Regions from separate parts of the Mus musculus genome. Here region 1 is reported to be linked to region 2. Evidence: microRNA targets listed by miRTarBase, many of them from high-throughput screens and not tested one by one. Region 2 holds a microRNA gene; the other region holds the end of a gene's coding sequence.

Region 1 (7,827 bases), not on the chromosome of region 2:
GGACAACAGGACGGAAGACCGCTGGGGACCCGCAGCTGCGTCGCACTTATAGGACGGTTGGAGGGCGGGGCCTGAGGAGAAGACCGCACCTACCGGAAGAGACTCCGCAAACACAGCAGTAGGGAACGGGACCCCAGAAAAGACTAGGCCAATAGCGCGGCGAAGGAATGGCCTGAGGAGAAAGCCACACCTTCAGGAGAAGACTCCACCAATAGCGCGCTGAGGAGGCGGGGCCTGAAAAAGCCTGGTTCTGCTGAGAGAATTAGGCCAAAGGCTCCACGAGGGCGGTGGCCTGATAGAAAGCTCCCCCCCCTACAAGGGACCAGGCCAATAGCGTGTGAAGGGCGTGGTCTGAGGGGGCAAAATCAGCTCCTGCGAGAAAGTCAGTAGCATCGAGGGGCGGGGCGGGGCGGGGCGTTAGAGAAAGCCTCGCCTACCGGAAAGAACTTCACCAATAGCGCGGTGGGGCGTGGCCTCACGAGGCTCCAGACAAAATAACCCTTGCTTGGTTCTGAACCGGAGCCTAAGTGGGAGGTGCTGCAGCGCGGCTCTGCCGCCTTAGGTCTCGCAAATACACAAACAAGGAAGCCCAGGAATAGGGAAACTGGTCTTAGTCACCCAGCGTGACAACTGTCACTATTTTTTTTTTCTGTTGCTTTTTGAGACGGGTTCTCATGTAGCCCAAACTTACCTGGGACTTGAGACAGTCCCCCTGCTTCTGTTTACAAGATTGGCCAGTAGTTTTGTGTTCCCTTGGCTAGTCTGGAACTCACTGTGTAGACCAGGCTGGCCTTGAACTCATAGAGGCGAGGTTGCCACTGCTTCCCGAGTGCTGGAATTAAAGCTCAAATCGGATTTCTGAACCCGAAAGCTTTATTTTCTTCTGAGGCCAAGTCTCACATAGCCTCCAATGCATCTCGTACTCTAACCAAGCCCGATGTTGAATTTGCCATCCTCCACCAGTCTTCCAGAGCTGACTTGATAGGCGTTTGCCTTAGTACCTGACTGTTTCTTAAACTTAAAAAAAAAAAGATTTATTTATTTGTATATGTATATGAGTACACTGTAGCTGTCTTCAGACACACCAGAAGAGAGCCATTACAGATGGCTGTGAGCCACTGTGTGGTTCCTGGGAATTGAACTCAGGATCTCTGGAAGAGCAGTCTGTGCTCTTAGCCACTGAGCCATCTCTCCTGCCCGGCCTGGCTTTTTCTTATGTTTTCAGACAGGATCTCACACTGTAACCCAGGCTGCCCGGGAACTCAAGGCAATGGAACTCCGGTGTCAGCCTCTTAGATGCTGGGTTCGCAGGTGTGTCCACTAGGCCAGAACCTCCCAGCTTAATCATCAACTCGCTGCCGCCTGCAGACCTATCTGGGGCACCTTTTTTCAGGCCCATTGTTTCCGGCGATGCGAATTGGTGGGGACAGGGAAGTGTTGGTCCTTTCCCCCCCCCCCCGCATTGGGCACCCCCATTCAACCTAAAGGACCCTGGCAAGGGACAAGGAGGATGTGCCTCAATTTCCACTTCCATAAGGCCTAGGGGAACTTAGTCCCTCAGATCCAGAAAGGGATTGCCGTGCATAGGCAGCAAATCCAGGAGACTCTGATATTTTGAGTCAAGGGCTGCAGTGTACCTGGGGATAGGGAGACCCTTCTGGAATGTAACAGGAAGAATTGCTCCTGCAGGGAAACCTGCCCGGCATTTGTAGACACGGGCACCCCCTGGTGGACATGGGATGTACTGCGGCTCGTATTCACTCCTGAGCCCAGCTGTGTGAACGAACACAGGTTCACAGCCTTATGAACCAGGCTGCAGCACCCCCTGCCCGCAGCCTGGAGAGGACAAGGCGGCCTGGAGGACCAGAGAAGTCCCACAGGTCTTGGACTAAAGAAAAGTGCGGGAATTGAAGACGCCCCCTCCCAGAGTGAGTGTACCACACAGATAAGTCTCGGAGACCAGAGAGAGGGTTTGGCCTTCGCCTGGAGTCACGGAGTAAGTCACACCCCACCCAACCCCACCCCACCCCGTGTGTGTTAGAGGAAGTCCTCAGTGAAAGTCTGGGTGGCTTCAGGATTTCCTTTGAGTCACCTGGAGAAAAAAGTTTCAACGGGGTCTCTTCCTGGCCCACTGGACAGACGCTGACTTCCTTCATCCAACTGAGGATTTATCTGTTTAGAGCAGCTGGAAGCAGATGTGGGGCCCCGCTTCTGACCTGCCTATTTCACGGTCCGGCATAGTGAAGCCTGGCTTAGCTGAGTGAGTGAGTGAGGGGCAGGGAGCCCAGAGACACCACATCTGCCCTGCAGGCACACAGCAAGGCTCAGGGATAGGAATGCCCTAGGGGTCTCATAAGTGAACTGGGAGGGGTTATGACCCGGATTCACAGTGGAATGTCTTCCATTGCAGTCTGCCACAGGCTCCTTCCCAGTGGGAGAGATTCCCTTCCTATCCACAAACACCATCAGACCCGCCCCCACTTCAGGGACAGACCCAGAGTAGCAGACAAGGCAAGGTAAACTGAGACAGAATTCGGGGTGCACACACGAGAAGCTTCTTTGAGAATCGGGACCCCCTCACCTGGAGGTCCTAAACAGGAGACTCTCTAGCCCATCCTGGGTTTCCACAGATCCTGAATCCCCTGCTTTAATTGGGAGTGTTCCACTGTCAACCTCTATTTCTAGGTTGTCACAGGCCTGAAATAGGGACATAGTCCAGGCAGGAGGACTTCATCCAGGATAGATGGGCGTCCCTATGTGAAATCCTAACTCTGGGAGCCCTTATGATTTTTGTGACAGTATATGTTAGCTCAGGCTACCCTCAAATTATGAGGCCCTGATCCTCCTGCCTCAGCTCCCCAGTGCTGGAATGACAGATATGTGCAGCCACATCTAACTTTTTAAGAAAAGTCTTGAGAAAGGGTCTCTCTGTGTAGCTCTGGCTGGCCTTGAGCTTCTGGAAATCCACCTGCCTCAGCTTCCTGAGTGTCTACTGCTTCTGCGAGCTCACCTGGAAGTAACATCTGCTGGTGTCACAGGTTGTCTTGGCTGCGGTGAAGTCACTGGCCACGGCGTTCACGCCTACGCTGCGCTCCAACCGCGCACCACCACCTCAGGTGCTTGCACATGCAGCAGTGCGGCTGCCTGGAACATCACCAGCCTGGCAGCCGCTGCCCCCGACCCCCGCGGCGCCCGAAGCTGCGCAGGGAGCCCAGCTGCATGTCCCACGAACCGGGTCCCTAGACACCCGGACTTCCTACTCCATGACGTTGATTATTAAGTCCGGGGCAGGGAAAATGTGTCCTCTGACCGAGGCGATCTGTGGCCTCACAACTGCGTTTTATTCTCTCTCTCTCCCTCCTTCCCTCCGTCCTTCCCCCCCTCCCTTTCTTTTTGGTTTTCTGTATAGCCCTGGCTGTTCTGGAACTCACTTTGTAGACCAGGCTGGCCTCGAACTCAGAAATCCGCCTGCCTCTGCCTCCCAAATGCTGGGAGTAAAGGCTTGCACCACGCCAGGCCATTTTATACTCTCATTTAGCCCCAGCCCGCCTCCCGGTGATGCACAGACCTTAGAAACACGCAGCGCGCAGTTGGAATCTGAAGGACCCTGTTGTCCTCCACGCCCAAATGTTTCACCAGAATCCCAAGTCACCTACAGCCTTGTTTATTTCTGTGCCACCCCACGTCTTACACTGTATACACTGCAACCCACCTGCCTTTGCCTCCTAGGTGTTAGGAATAAAGGCATGTGTCACATTGACCTGCCTTGTTTATTTCTTCTGGACCTGTTTTGATCTCAGTCCCCTTCCTGATGGACAGGAGCTAATACTGGGCTCAGAAGGGGCAGGATGGGTCCATGTTTCCCAAGCCCTCATGGGCAGTCTTAGGAAGGAGGGGGTATTTATTGAGCACCTACTGTCTGACCCGTGTGGGGGTTGGGTTAGGCCTGTTTCCCACAGCAGCAGGGGAATAAAGCCTGCCCAGGTCCACCCCAGAGCTCCACCCCACAAACTTATAGAATCCAAACTGGGCCTCTGGGTTCCCACACAGGTCCACTATCTCCCAAGACAGGTGGCTGAAAGTCTGATCAGAGGACACTGTGACTTAGGCTGCTCTTGATAAGCCGCCCATGCCTGTGAGGTGTCTCAGTGTTCCCCAAGTACCCAAAGTCTGAAGCCTAAGGTCTGAAGTGACCGTGGTGACTCTGCTCGTCTGTAACCCTGGCCTCTCACCCTCCCGTGTGTCCTTACTTTGACATCAGGATCCCCAAGTAGAATCTATCCGCTTATGCTGTTTAACAAGTGTGTTTGCCTCAGACCATTGCTGTGTGGCTACAGGCAAGTGGCCTCACCTCTCTGAATTCTCATTTGTTTGTATCTTACTCCAGTTAGATAGATCCTGAAGAAAAGCCATTGTTTCAGTCCCTGTATACAGTAGATACTCAATGCATGTGCAGTGACTTTCCACGTCTGTCCCCGTCCATTAAGGAATCCCCAGGTGGGGTCATCTACCTCCTCTGGGGAGATGTTTGCAGCCCCCTGCATGTCAACAGAAAGCGGGCTGGAAGCTCCTGATTTACTTAGAAATGTTGAGGCCCCTGCTACTACTCCTTGCCCTCCTGGGGCCTGGGACAGCTAAGGGGACCTGGATCCTGTGGCCCAGCCTCAGAAGGATGAGTGCCAGTCCAGTCGGCTCAGTTCACCCAAGCTTCTAAATGCAGTAGTCCGGAGGTCCAAAACGGCAAGGAGCTAGCTGTGGCCACACGATGGCTGAGATGGAGCAGTCTAGCGGTCAGCAGCCATCACCCACAGTCTGATCCCATGGTGGGCAGCCAGTGGCTTTGTGGGCTCTGGGTGGCTGTGGCCAGGTGACCAGGCCCAGGCCAGGGTGGTGGTAGAGGGCATATGGCTTGGGCTATAAGGCCTGGTAGAGCCTGCAGGGAGGCACCCAGGACATCCAGTCGGCTCTCCAAGGCGGCTAGGCGTGCCTCCAACTCCTCCTGCTGGGCCTGCAGCTCTGACACCACCTCATATGCGATGCTCTGTGCCTACAGAGATGGAGAGACAGACCGAGTGATAAAGGGAGGGACCAGGAGATGGCTGAGGGCAGAGGGCTAAGGACAGTAGGGGCCAGCATGAGGATTAAAGAGCAGGGGACTGAGCAGTTTTTGTTCCAGCAGCTCGCCGGCTGTGTGACCAGCAGGGGGCGCCAGAGGTGCAGAGTCCCAACACAGGCCGCCAGGGAGCTGGTGAACATGTCAGGCTCAGATGGAGCTAGAGAATGGTTTTCTTCTTTGGGCCACCATGGCTTTGCCCAGACTGTAGCTTACCTGTCCCTACTTGTCCAGAAACCAGGATGTGACATTTGAAGACACCCATAACTGTTAGCTCATAGCCCTCTCTGGTATTGTTTGTTTGTTTATTCATTTATTGAGACAGGGCATAAATAACCATGTAGCCTTGGCTGGCCTGGAACTCCCTACCTGGACCAGACTGGCCTCAAACTCAGAAGCCAGAGACCTGGGATTAAAGGTTTGTGCCGCCAGACCCAGCTTGGCTTTATTTGTTTGGTTGGTTTTTATTTATATGTATGTGTGTATTTCTTGAGACAGTCTCCAGGCTGTCCTTGAATTTGAAGCAATCATCCTCCTGCAGCCATGTGAGTACTGGAGTAAACTATGTGAAATGAACCATTATGACTTCTGAACTCTAGAAGCTGAGGCAGTGTAGCGTCCCCCAGCGGTGAGCAGGCTGGCTCAGACCTGTTCTGCCACTGTGAAGGGGACCACCTGGGGTGGAGACTTCCGAGACATAGCTAGGTCTAGTGTTCTGCCCCCTCTGTGCTCTTCTCCAAGATGCTGCTGCCTGCTGACAGGCTGAACCTGTCTTCCTGAGCCGATCCTGAATAAGCAACAGCCTGGCCACCAAGTACTGACAGCCTGGCGGCAGAGCAAGGAGAACCTGGAGTGTTGGAGGATGGCCCTTTCACCTTTATAAGCTCAGACTCTTAAGTAAACTTTGGGCCTTGATCAGTATCTTGTCTTGGTCTCGTTATTTCTCTCACCATTTCCTCCCATACAGCCCCAGCCTCCGATTCAGGAACCCGGTTCGTGTAGCTGCAGGCAGCTACAAGGCAGGAGGATCAGGAATTCTAAGTTGTCCCTGGCTACACAGTGAATTCCAGGATAGACTGGGCTACATGTCACACTGTCTTAAAAACAACAAAAAGGTCGGGCAGTGGTGGCACACACCTTTAATCCCAGCACTTGGGAGTCAGAGGCAGGTGGATTTCTGAGTTCAAAGCCAGCCTGGTCTACAAAGTGAGTTCCAGGACAGCCAGGGCTACACAGAGAAACCCTGTCTCAAAAACTCCAAAAAAAAAAAAATGGAGGTTGGAGGTTGGAGAGATGGTTCAGTGGTTAAGAACACTGACTGCTCTTCCAGAGGTCCTGAGATCAAATCCCAGCAACCACATGGTGGCTCACAACCACCTGTAATGGGATCTGATGCCCTCTTCTGGTGTGGCTGAAGACAGCAGCAGTGTACTCACGTACATATTAAATAAATAAATATTTAAAAACAAACAACAAAGAATTTAATATCTTCTGAAGACATTACTGGGTAGAATGGGACTAGAAAGTGGAGTCTCTGCCTAAACTCCCCCAGTGAGGGGCTGGAGGTGTGGCTCAGGGTGGAGTCCATGTCTAGAATCCTATGCTGTAAATGTAGTCAATGCTGAGTCTCTATATAGCCTGTGCTATTTTTGATCTCCTAGCCTCAAAGGATCCTTCTGCCTCAGCCTCTGAAGGAGCTAGAACCCTGGCTGTGGATGCCTGGAATATTACTCATGAATTTAAACTGAAGAGCCAAGTTGAGCATAAATACTTGATGCTGCATTGTGGGTTTCTGCCTCCTCTGATTAGACACTATCCCCGTGTCCCTGGAAGCCCATTCCTCCCGTCCCGTCCTGGTGATGCTCACCTTGGCCAGCTCAGCCAGCGTGTTGGCCTGATCGTTCACCTTCCCTTGTTCAATCTTCACACTTCGGAGCCTGGGGATAGGGCAGGGACAGGGGCAGGTCACTCGGGGCTGAGGGTGGAATGCATTTGTAATCTTGGTCCAGATCAGGCCATTTCCAAGAGCCTGGATGCAGGCCCATCCACAAGACTAAGACAGACACATTCTCTGTCCACTAGGGACCCCCCACGGGCATCATGCACCACCAGACTTCCAGTCACCCCAAGACTTACTTCTGAGCCCTGGGAGGAGCCAGGAGAGTGCAGAAAAGGAAAACGGAGAAAGAGAAAAAGCACAGTTTAATTTTAATCTCATGCAGTGACTGGCTGAGTGGCCGCAGCCCCAGCCCCGTAGCCAGGTGCCTCCCCAGTTCCCAGCAGGGGCTCCTGGGCTGCCAAGGAGCTACTGCCCCCATGTGGCAGGGATCTGGCCTCATAAGGCGACACCTGCGCCCTGTCACCCCGGGGACTTCCCGGCAGCCCTGGGTAGATGCTATTCACTGCCCTTCTCCCACAGTCCTCTGAGTGGCACCTTGCCTCCATGGGCAACTTGCTTAGAAAACATCCTGGATGAAAACAGAGGTTGGCAAGGGCAGTGCCATAGGGATCAGCATACAGACAGGATCAGGGATCAGCATACAGACAGGATCAGGGATCAGCACAGAGACAGGATATGAACCCATAGCTGCTGATCAGGTGTGGTGCCCTTGACCCCTGGAGAAGAGGCTGCCAAAGGTAGGTTCCGCTCTCTCTATGACACATCCTGCATATGCCTCCCCAGGGGTGTGGACAGCCTCCTAAGACCCAGAGTT
Region 2 (7,827 bases):
ATAATTGGGAGTGCATATGATTAAAATCAGGTGCTTTATGGGGAGGGGCACGCACAATAGAAAAAATGAGTACATGACTTAACCTATCAATCAATCAATACTACACCCCTTAGTAACAAGTCCCTTCTAACACTAGGTGATATTCCAGGACCCTTGAGTTGATCTTGACAGTGTCTCCCTCTATAACTTACCCTATGCCTTTGTTCTGCTGACGTTAGCTTGCCTTTTTTTGCAAATCTGTGTGAGCCCCACTTTTCAATGCTTCGGATAAGAGGCCAAGAACCTGGAACACTCAGCCTGGACCCTGACCACAGATAACAATACCATATTCTGTTCATCCACTCAGCAAATATTCATCTAGTGTGTAGTTGTACAGACAGTGTTCTGATCAGTTAGGATGAAGTTGTCAACACAGTGCAAACTCCTGGCCCCGGTGGTACCTTGGGTCTCATCTGAATGGTTTCCTTACTTTCTATTCTATCTATCCCATCGTCCCAAGTCCTATGACCACACCCCTAGTCTAAGCCTCATTTTTAAAAAACAGTTTGTGGGAATGAATGTTTTTCCAGAATCTGTACATTTACACCTCACATAAATAGTACACAAGGAGGCCAAAAGAGGGTGTCAGGTCCTCTATAACTAGAATTACAGGTAGTTATAAGCTGTCCCGTGGATGGTGGGAATTGAACCTAGGGCCTCTGCAAGAACAGCTAGTGTTCTTAAGGGCGGAGCCACCTATCCAGCCCCCTAAGCCTTATGCTTTATGTCTGAACCATGGTGGCACCTGCCACCTACGTACTGTTCTGCTCTCCCTGCACCAGGCTCTCACTGCCTTCCATACCTGTCACCAGTGGAGTGTCTCAAACTGCCAAATCTTACTGGAAACATTTGGAAACTCTTTGAAGGGCTCTCCACAAGCTGCAGGGCAGAGTCCAAGCCTCTCTGGACTTTGTTACTCTTCCTGAGCTGCCCTTTGCTCAATCCTCTGGCTCTCCACACCTGTCCGAGCTGAGTAGCACCAACCACTGCTCCCGGATGCCCAATGCCCTTTCTCCTTCTTTTGCCTGATTTGGGGGGTGGGGAGTGGGAGAGGTGCTTGTTTTCCTTATAGTCTGAGCTTCAATGTCACCTCCTCCGGGAAGCTTCCTCTGAGCTGTTTACATAAAAAGAAAGGCACGAGCCAAGGAAGCTCTCAAGCAAAGCCCTCCAGGATGCAGAGGACACCCAGGCAATCCTGGCCTCACCTAGGAGGAACCCACCTTGCCAGCTCACTAGCCATACATGCAGGCAGGGCCCTTGCCCTCTCTAAGGCCTGAGTTCCTTTATCTATAGAAAGAGACACTGATAATACCAACCTTGTAAGGTATGGTAAGAGTTAACAGGCTTAGAAAAGACTCTAGCTCGATATGGTGCCAAACACCTTTAATTCCAGCATTTGGGAGGCAGATTCTCTGTGAGTTCAAGACCAGCCTGGTCCACATACTGAGTTTCAAGATACCCAGACCTATGTGTACTGAGACCCTGTCTCAAAAATACCAAAAGAGAGAGAGGGAGAGAGGGAAGGAAAGAAGGATGGGGGGGGGGAGAGAGAGAGGAAGGAAGAAAGAAGGAGTCTAAAGCATGACACATCAATGATAAACTTTAGATATGCCAGGCCATGGTGGCACATGCCTTTAAACAAACTACTCAGGAAACAGAAGCTGGTGAATCTCTGAGTTTGAGGCCAACCTGGTCTGCAGAGCCAGTTCCAGGACAGTCAAAGATATACAGAGAAACCCTTTCTCAGAAAAAAAAAAGTTTGGATTTTGGAAGATTTCCACTTTGATACTTCGATGTTAGGGATGTCCAATCTCAATATTAATATTAATAATTATTATTACCCTTGCTTGCAACCACTACTAACAATCATAAATTATCTTTATTATGTTACATTTTGTTTATTTACTTATTTATTCATTAATTTATTATTAACTATTTACAAAACAGCACTTAAACCCATCCAAGGCTCCATTAATTCTTGTCCTGATTTCCTTTTACCAAACTAGCCTCCAAAGTCGGTCACCTTCCTGGCACACCTAGAGAAATGCTTGGAGCCGGATGTTAAGGCCCCATAGGCAGCTGTCATAGGAGACAAACCCTCGTACGTTCCTGCAGAGACCAGACATTAGCTTTAAAGGGACTCCTCCTTATCAGTGCCCGGTGAGCACCTGAGCCCCAGCACCTGGCAGCATGAATTTGCATTCTCTGTCACTGGGCCTCCGCTCTGTACACAACCTCTCTGCTTGCCTGGCTGATCTCCCATCTAAACAAATTTTGTCAAATGGCACCAACTTCTTCTTGCTGGGCCAAAGCTAGCCTTTTTTTTTTTTTTTCTTCTCCAGCTGCAATGGGGAACAGAGCAGGGTTTGAGCGGAATACATTTGACAGACTTCTCTTGGTTGTAGCTATGGATACTGGAGAATTTGGACCCCTCTGCTAACTTGGAGGAAGCCCCGAATCCTCAGAGTCACAGCCCAGTTAACATTCAGGTTTAGTAACCAGAAACAGAAAACCAAACGCCGGCCAGGTGTGGTACACAAGCTTGTAAGGCCAGCACTCGGGAGGGAAGCTGAGGCAGAAGGATCAGGAATAGGGAGCGAAACCCTCATCTCAAAAAGGGAAAGCAAACGTGTAGCTAGCTGGCAGCCCAGGCACTGTGACTCCATGCCAGCAGCCTTGAGATGGTGCGGAAACTGAGTTGTATGACCCCAATGGGGTTGGAAAGTCAACTGTCACTACCAAGAGAGTACAGCAGTGCTCTCAGCCAACACAGCCTTTCCAGGAAACCTGGCTCTTACCTACCTGGACAGGCTCTGGCCACTTCCTGGAGGAACGTTCTGGTGTGTGAACCAAAGGGAAGTTGGAATACAAGCTTGAGTTCAGCTGTGTTCAATTGTACTGTCACATCAGAGCCTGTAGAGAGGAGACAAGAAATGCAGTCACCAGTAGCTAAATACTAAAATGTATTAAGAGGAGACTCTGCGAGCTAGAGAGCTGGCTCAGCTGTTAGGAGCACTTAACCCTTCCAGAGGACCCGAGTTCAATCCCCAGAACCCACATAGCAGCTTATAACTGTCTGTAACCCCAGTGCCAGGGGATCTGATGCCCTCACAGAGACATACACAAAGGCAAGACATCAATGCACATAAGTTAAAAATAAATATTTTTTTAAAAAAAGAATGGACTCTGCCTGGTGGAGGTGGCACACACCTTTAATCCAAGCACTCAGGAGGCAGAGGCAGACACAACTCTGTAAGTTCAAAGCCAGCCTGGTGTACAGAGCAAGTTCCAGGACAGCCAGGCCTGGAAACAGAGAGAAACCCTGCCTTGAGAAACTATTTAAAGGAGATCTGGAGAGATAGCTTGGAGGTTAAGAGCACTGGCTATTTTTCCAAAGTTCCTAAGTTCAATTCCCAGCATCCCTATGATGGCTCACAACCATCAATAATGAGATCTGATGTCCTATTCTGGCATGCAGGCACATATACAGGCAGAATACTGTATATATAATAAGTCTTGAAAAAAAACAAAAAAACATAAAAAAAAAGAGAGAGAGAATCTGCAAAATGGCAAATCAGAAAGCCTAAACTTGGGCTAGTGAAATGGCTCAGCAGTTAAGAACACTGGCTACTCTTCCAGAAGTCCTGAGTTCAATTCCCAGCAACCACATGTTGCTCATGACCACATGACCATCTATAAAGGGATCTGATGGCACATAGGTGTGCTTGCAGCAGAGCACTCCTACATTTGGGGGAAGAGGAGATTGGGAGATTGCTGTGTGATTGGGATGTAATGTGGATTTAAGTTCTCCAGCTCTGTGAACTGAAGAGCATGCAGAAGTGCACTGCAGCACCTGCCTATCTGCTGGTCCACCGTAGAGCCAGGCCCTGAGAATGACATGATGAGGAGAAAAGACTACACACAGGAGAGGCCCAAGCTGAAAGATGTGGCACTTACAAGAGCAGGGGACCCTGGGGCCACTGGAGATGGCTCAACAGGTAAGTGTTTGCTGCCAAGCCTGAACGAGCTGTCCTTTGGTCGCCACACAGACACCATGGTAATTCAAGTACACATACACACACTCTAAATAGTTAGTGTGGTAAGTTTTTTTACATTAAAGGTAGGTTTATTGGGAAGCTGCTTGGGTGGGGGCTCACTGGTTCAAAGGACTGAGGCCAGGCGAATCACCATGGGGAAAGGTACAGGGGGAAGGAAGTTAGAAAGGGCTCAGGGAGAGAAGGGGAGAAGAGGAGCATGGGATAGTTTTTTTTTTTTTAAGAAGAGCGAACTGGCGGGGCAGTGGTGGCGGCACATGTCTTTAATGCCAGCACTCAGAGGCAGAGGAATTCGAGGCTAGTCTGGTCTACACAGTGAGTTCCAGGACAGCCAGGGCTACATGGAGAAACTCTGTCTTGGAAAACCAAAAAGAAGAAGAGGAGGAAGAAGAGAAGGAAAAGGAGAGGGAGAGGGAGTAGGGGGAGGAGGAGGAAGAAGAGGAGGAGGAGGGAAAGAAGGGGGAAGAGGAACAGCAGCAGGAGAAAGAGGAAGAAGAGAAGGAAGAAGGAGAGGAGGAAGGGGAGGAGGAGGAGGGTTACAACTTGTGGTGTCTGAGGTGATGATGGAGCCCACCTGGAGGACTGAAACGCACTGACAAGGGGTGATTAAGGAAAAAGAGCTGGTAGAGGGTAGCACCTGATTCTTAGTCACCGTAGTATGGACACCAGGAAAGTTTTCTCTAGAGTAAAAGCCCAGAAGCTGGATCTTTCATTCTACCTAGTGGGTTCTGGGACTCGAACTCGGAAAGTTGGTCTTGACAGCAAGCACCTTTCTCCACTAAGCCGTTCCACCAACCCAAGAATTTTCTCTTTTGGTTTGTTGTCAGTCTACGGCTTGCCTAGAACTCACAATGTAAGTCCAGACTGACCTCAAATTCAAGGCAATCCCCCTGCCTCAAGCCTCCCACATGCTAGGATTTCAGGCACCTAGCATCACTCCCATCCAGGCATGTTCTCGTTCATCTTTCTGTCTTTGGAACCTGTCCCATTGACCTAACAGGGACCCAGATTGAAAGGGCTACTCACCAAGGATGTAGAGTTCACCATCTGGGGACACTGAGGGAAGGAAACGAGAATGTCTTTAGCAACTGAACATCCCTGTCCCACCCACATAGCCACCACCCTCCCTTACAGTGAGGGCAGAGATGAGTTGGGGGCCACCCAGAGGAGAGCATACCACCCGGCCCAACTGGCACCTTCTTCCAGCATAAAATCTTTTGAGAGTGGCACTATCTGGTCCAGAGATACATCGTCTCCTGTGATGGCCATCCTCCGGTGTGTATACAGGAAGAGACTAAGGGCAGAAATGAGTGGAAGGCCCAGCTTAGAGTGCTTGTGGTCACCTGTGGGTCCCTAGTGCTTAGCTGGCAGTGCCCTAGCCATACGCATGGCTCAGGCCCTTTCCATGCACAGTGTCCAGTGATGCAAGAGCAGTACACATTCCAACCATCTCTTCAACCCCATCCCTTCCCTTTTTGAGGTAGGGTCTCACTCTGTAGCCTAGGCTGTGCTTAGAATGTAGCCCAGGATGGCCTGGAATTTGTGACAGTCCTGCCTCAGCTTCCTGGTGCATGTGCTCGCTCGTTCCCAGTTCAACCCTCTGTACTTTACTCTGGGTAAATGGAGCTATGAAGAACAATTTGCATAGGATTGCAGCATCCGGATTTAAACTCGGGCACTCACACAAACTCAAAATCTGGCCAAGTTTGATATAACTGCCTCTCCTCTAAAAGCTTCCACATCACATCTTGCTGATTATTAAAGGCTTAGAACACGGTGTTCCAGAACACTATCATTGTGTTAATTAGTCTAGGAGACTCAGACAGAATGACTGAAGTCCAGCTGGAGGATACTGAAGAACCACCCATGGCCCACACAGGCAGTCTGAGCCCTACTTACGCATGCTCCTGGGCGTCATTTTCCAGCCGGTACCTCACCAGCCCGAGCAGGCGGCTCTGCCGGCTATCTCCCTTACACAGCACACCTTGGACTGCCTGCTGCTCAGAGTGAAGGGAAACTGAAAGCCAAAGGGCGAAACTCCCCATCCGGCCCACTCCACCACGCTGCCTTTCCCTCTCCCACTGGCAAACGACTTCACCTCTCTGAGTTTTCCTCATCTGCAAAATGGGTATAATAGTCTCCAACTTTGCAGCTGGTTGAGAAAATAGCTACCTATGTAAAGCACCTGGTAGAGAGACCAGAGCCAAGTGAATACTTGGTAAATATTGGTTTACCTTTTCCCATATGGCTTCGAGAGAAATTTTTCCACACCCTCCATCCCACCTCCCAAGGCTGAAGCAGGCACGATCTGGATGGCAACCTACAACTGGGAAGGATATGATGACGCAGTATTCCCCCTCAACCAGGGTCTCCTGGATTGCCACAGACTGGTCCATGCTGAGCTGTCAAACCCTGGGGTAGGGCAGGTGGGAACCTCCCATTCCGTATTAGAGCTGCTTCGGGGGGCTGTGGGGATGAAGAAAGGGGCCTTTGTGGAGGGAAAAGAGAGAGCCTGGTCATCTCTCTTCTCCTTCTGGCCTTCCCCGTCTTTCCTACAATGGGTCTCTCAACGTTTCCAGAAAATGGGTTTCTACCCCTTTGCCCCTTGCTCGGTGTCGCCCCAGATGTTCCCAGTGGAGTTCAGTATGCTCTCTGGTCTCCTTGCTTCTGGGTACAGCTCTGATGCCCTCTTCAGGGAGCAGTTGTGGTCCATCTGGCTCTTCTCTGGGAAAGGTTGGTGGTGTGTCCAAATAGGGGTAGGGAGACAGCCTTCGCCTCAGTCTCAGCTAGGAGGGTCTTATTCTGGAGAAATAACCCAGCCCCGCTGCTCTTTCCTCGGAGCCTGTGGGTGTCCCGTTGCTCCTTGCCCCTCACCCCACCCAACAGGCCCCGTTGCATCAGCAGCAGGTTAGGAGTGTCCATTCTGGCACCCACAGGACAAGGGCCCCAGCAACCAGCTTGCAAGCCCCCTCCCACTCTGCACTTATTTCAGATCCTTGTCATTGCAGCCTACCTCCCGAGCTGTCACCGGTGGGCCTGCAGGACACCTCCGTTCCAGGGCAGATTAAGGACTACATTTCCCAGCGGCCCTGGCGTCACAGGACGGACAGCCAGCCTGCAAGTCCCAGCATGCCCGAGTCGGACATGGACGAGTAGGTGGGTCTCCCCGCCCTTACTCTATTTAAAAATCTAGAATCTACAGTCTGTATTCAAGCATACTCGGGCGTCCCAGTTCTGGAAAGCCTGCGTGAGGAACGCCTTTCTCAGCCCACTAAATCAAAGGGCCAAGGCCCATGTCCAAGGCAGAAGGAAGTGGTCATGTTACCCTAACGGAAAAAATGATGTTAACTTTTATTTTCAAGTTAAGTCCATCCTCAACTCTTCACATGCAGAAAGGGACAGCTTTCTATTATTCTGAAACACTTCCAGATAACTACCGTGCCCTGGCTTCATGTATGTCACCTTCTCCACTTGCCAGGTGGAGAAACGGAGGAACAGAGAGACAAAACTGTTTGACAAAGTCCGTAGCCAATAAGTGCTGGGTGCCCAGAGGGAAGTCCAACTCCAATTCCTGTGTCATTTTCCCGTCTAGGAACTGCTAAATGTTCTTAAGACCTATCTAGCTTTTCTGTCAATGGAACTTGAAATGTGTGGCATCTTTATCTGTGACACAGTAATGACAACCACCAGGCAGCGCGGAGGACTCTTCTTAACAGCGGAGGACGATGTGGCC

Evidence for each region. Region 2 holds the annotated microRNA mmu-miR-698-3p (CAUUCUCGUUUCCUUCCCU, at 5,154-5,172, opposite strand). A microRNA usually pairs through its seed, bases 2 to 8, with sites in the 3' UTR of a target mRNA and lowers its output. Matches are read on the target gene's strand: a 7mer-m8 pairs with bases 2 to 8, a 7mer-A1 pairs with bases 2 to 7 and ends in A, and an 8mer does both.
Region 1: the mRNA of Kcnn1 is a reported target of mmu-miR-698-3p. The part of its 3' UTR that is shown has no 7-base or 8-base seed match.

Annotation. Positions count from the first base shown.
Region 1 is chr8:70,839,515-70,847,341 of GRCm38, forward strand. It overlaps Kcnn1 (potassium intermediate/small conductance calcium-activated channel, subfamily N, member 1), which reads right to left. Exons shown (of 10, transcript NM_032397.3): 8 at 7,250-7,258; 9 at 6,981-7,050; 10 at 3,650-5,047. The coding sequence ends at 4,802. Arrdc2 (arrestin domain containing 2) reads right to left here and starts at 206. Exons shown (of 8, transcript NM_027560.1): 1 at 1-206.
Region 2 is chr4:124,741,197-124,749,023 of GRCm38, reverse strand. It overlaps Mir698 (microRNA 698), which reads right to left and starts at 5,243; the gene lies at 5,135-5,243. Inpp5b (inositol polyphosphate-5-phosphatase B) reads right to left here and starts at 7,174. Exons shown (of 24, transcript NM_008385.4): 1 at 7,108-7,174; 2 at 6,434-6,560; 3 at 5,994-6,088; 4 at 5,291-5,388; 5 at 5,121-5,150; 6 at 2,842-2,952. The coding sequence starts at 6,490. Gm12915 (predicted gene 12915) reads left to right here. Exons shown (of 4, transcript NR_151694.1): 2 at 3,845-4,037; 3 at 7,103-7,250.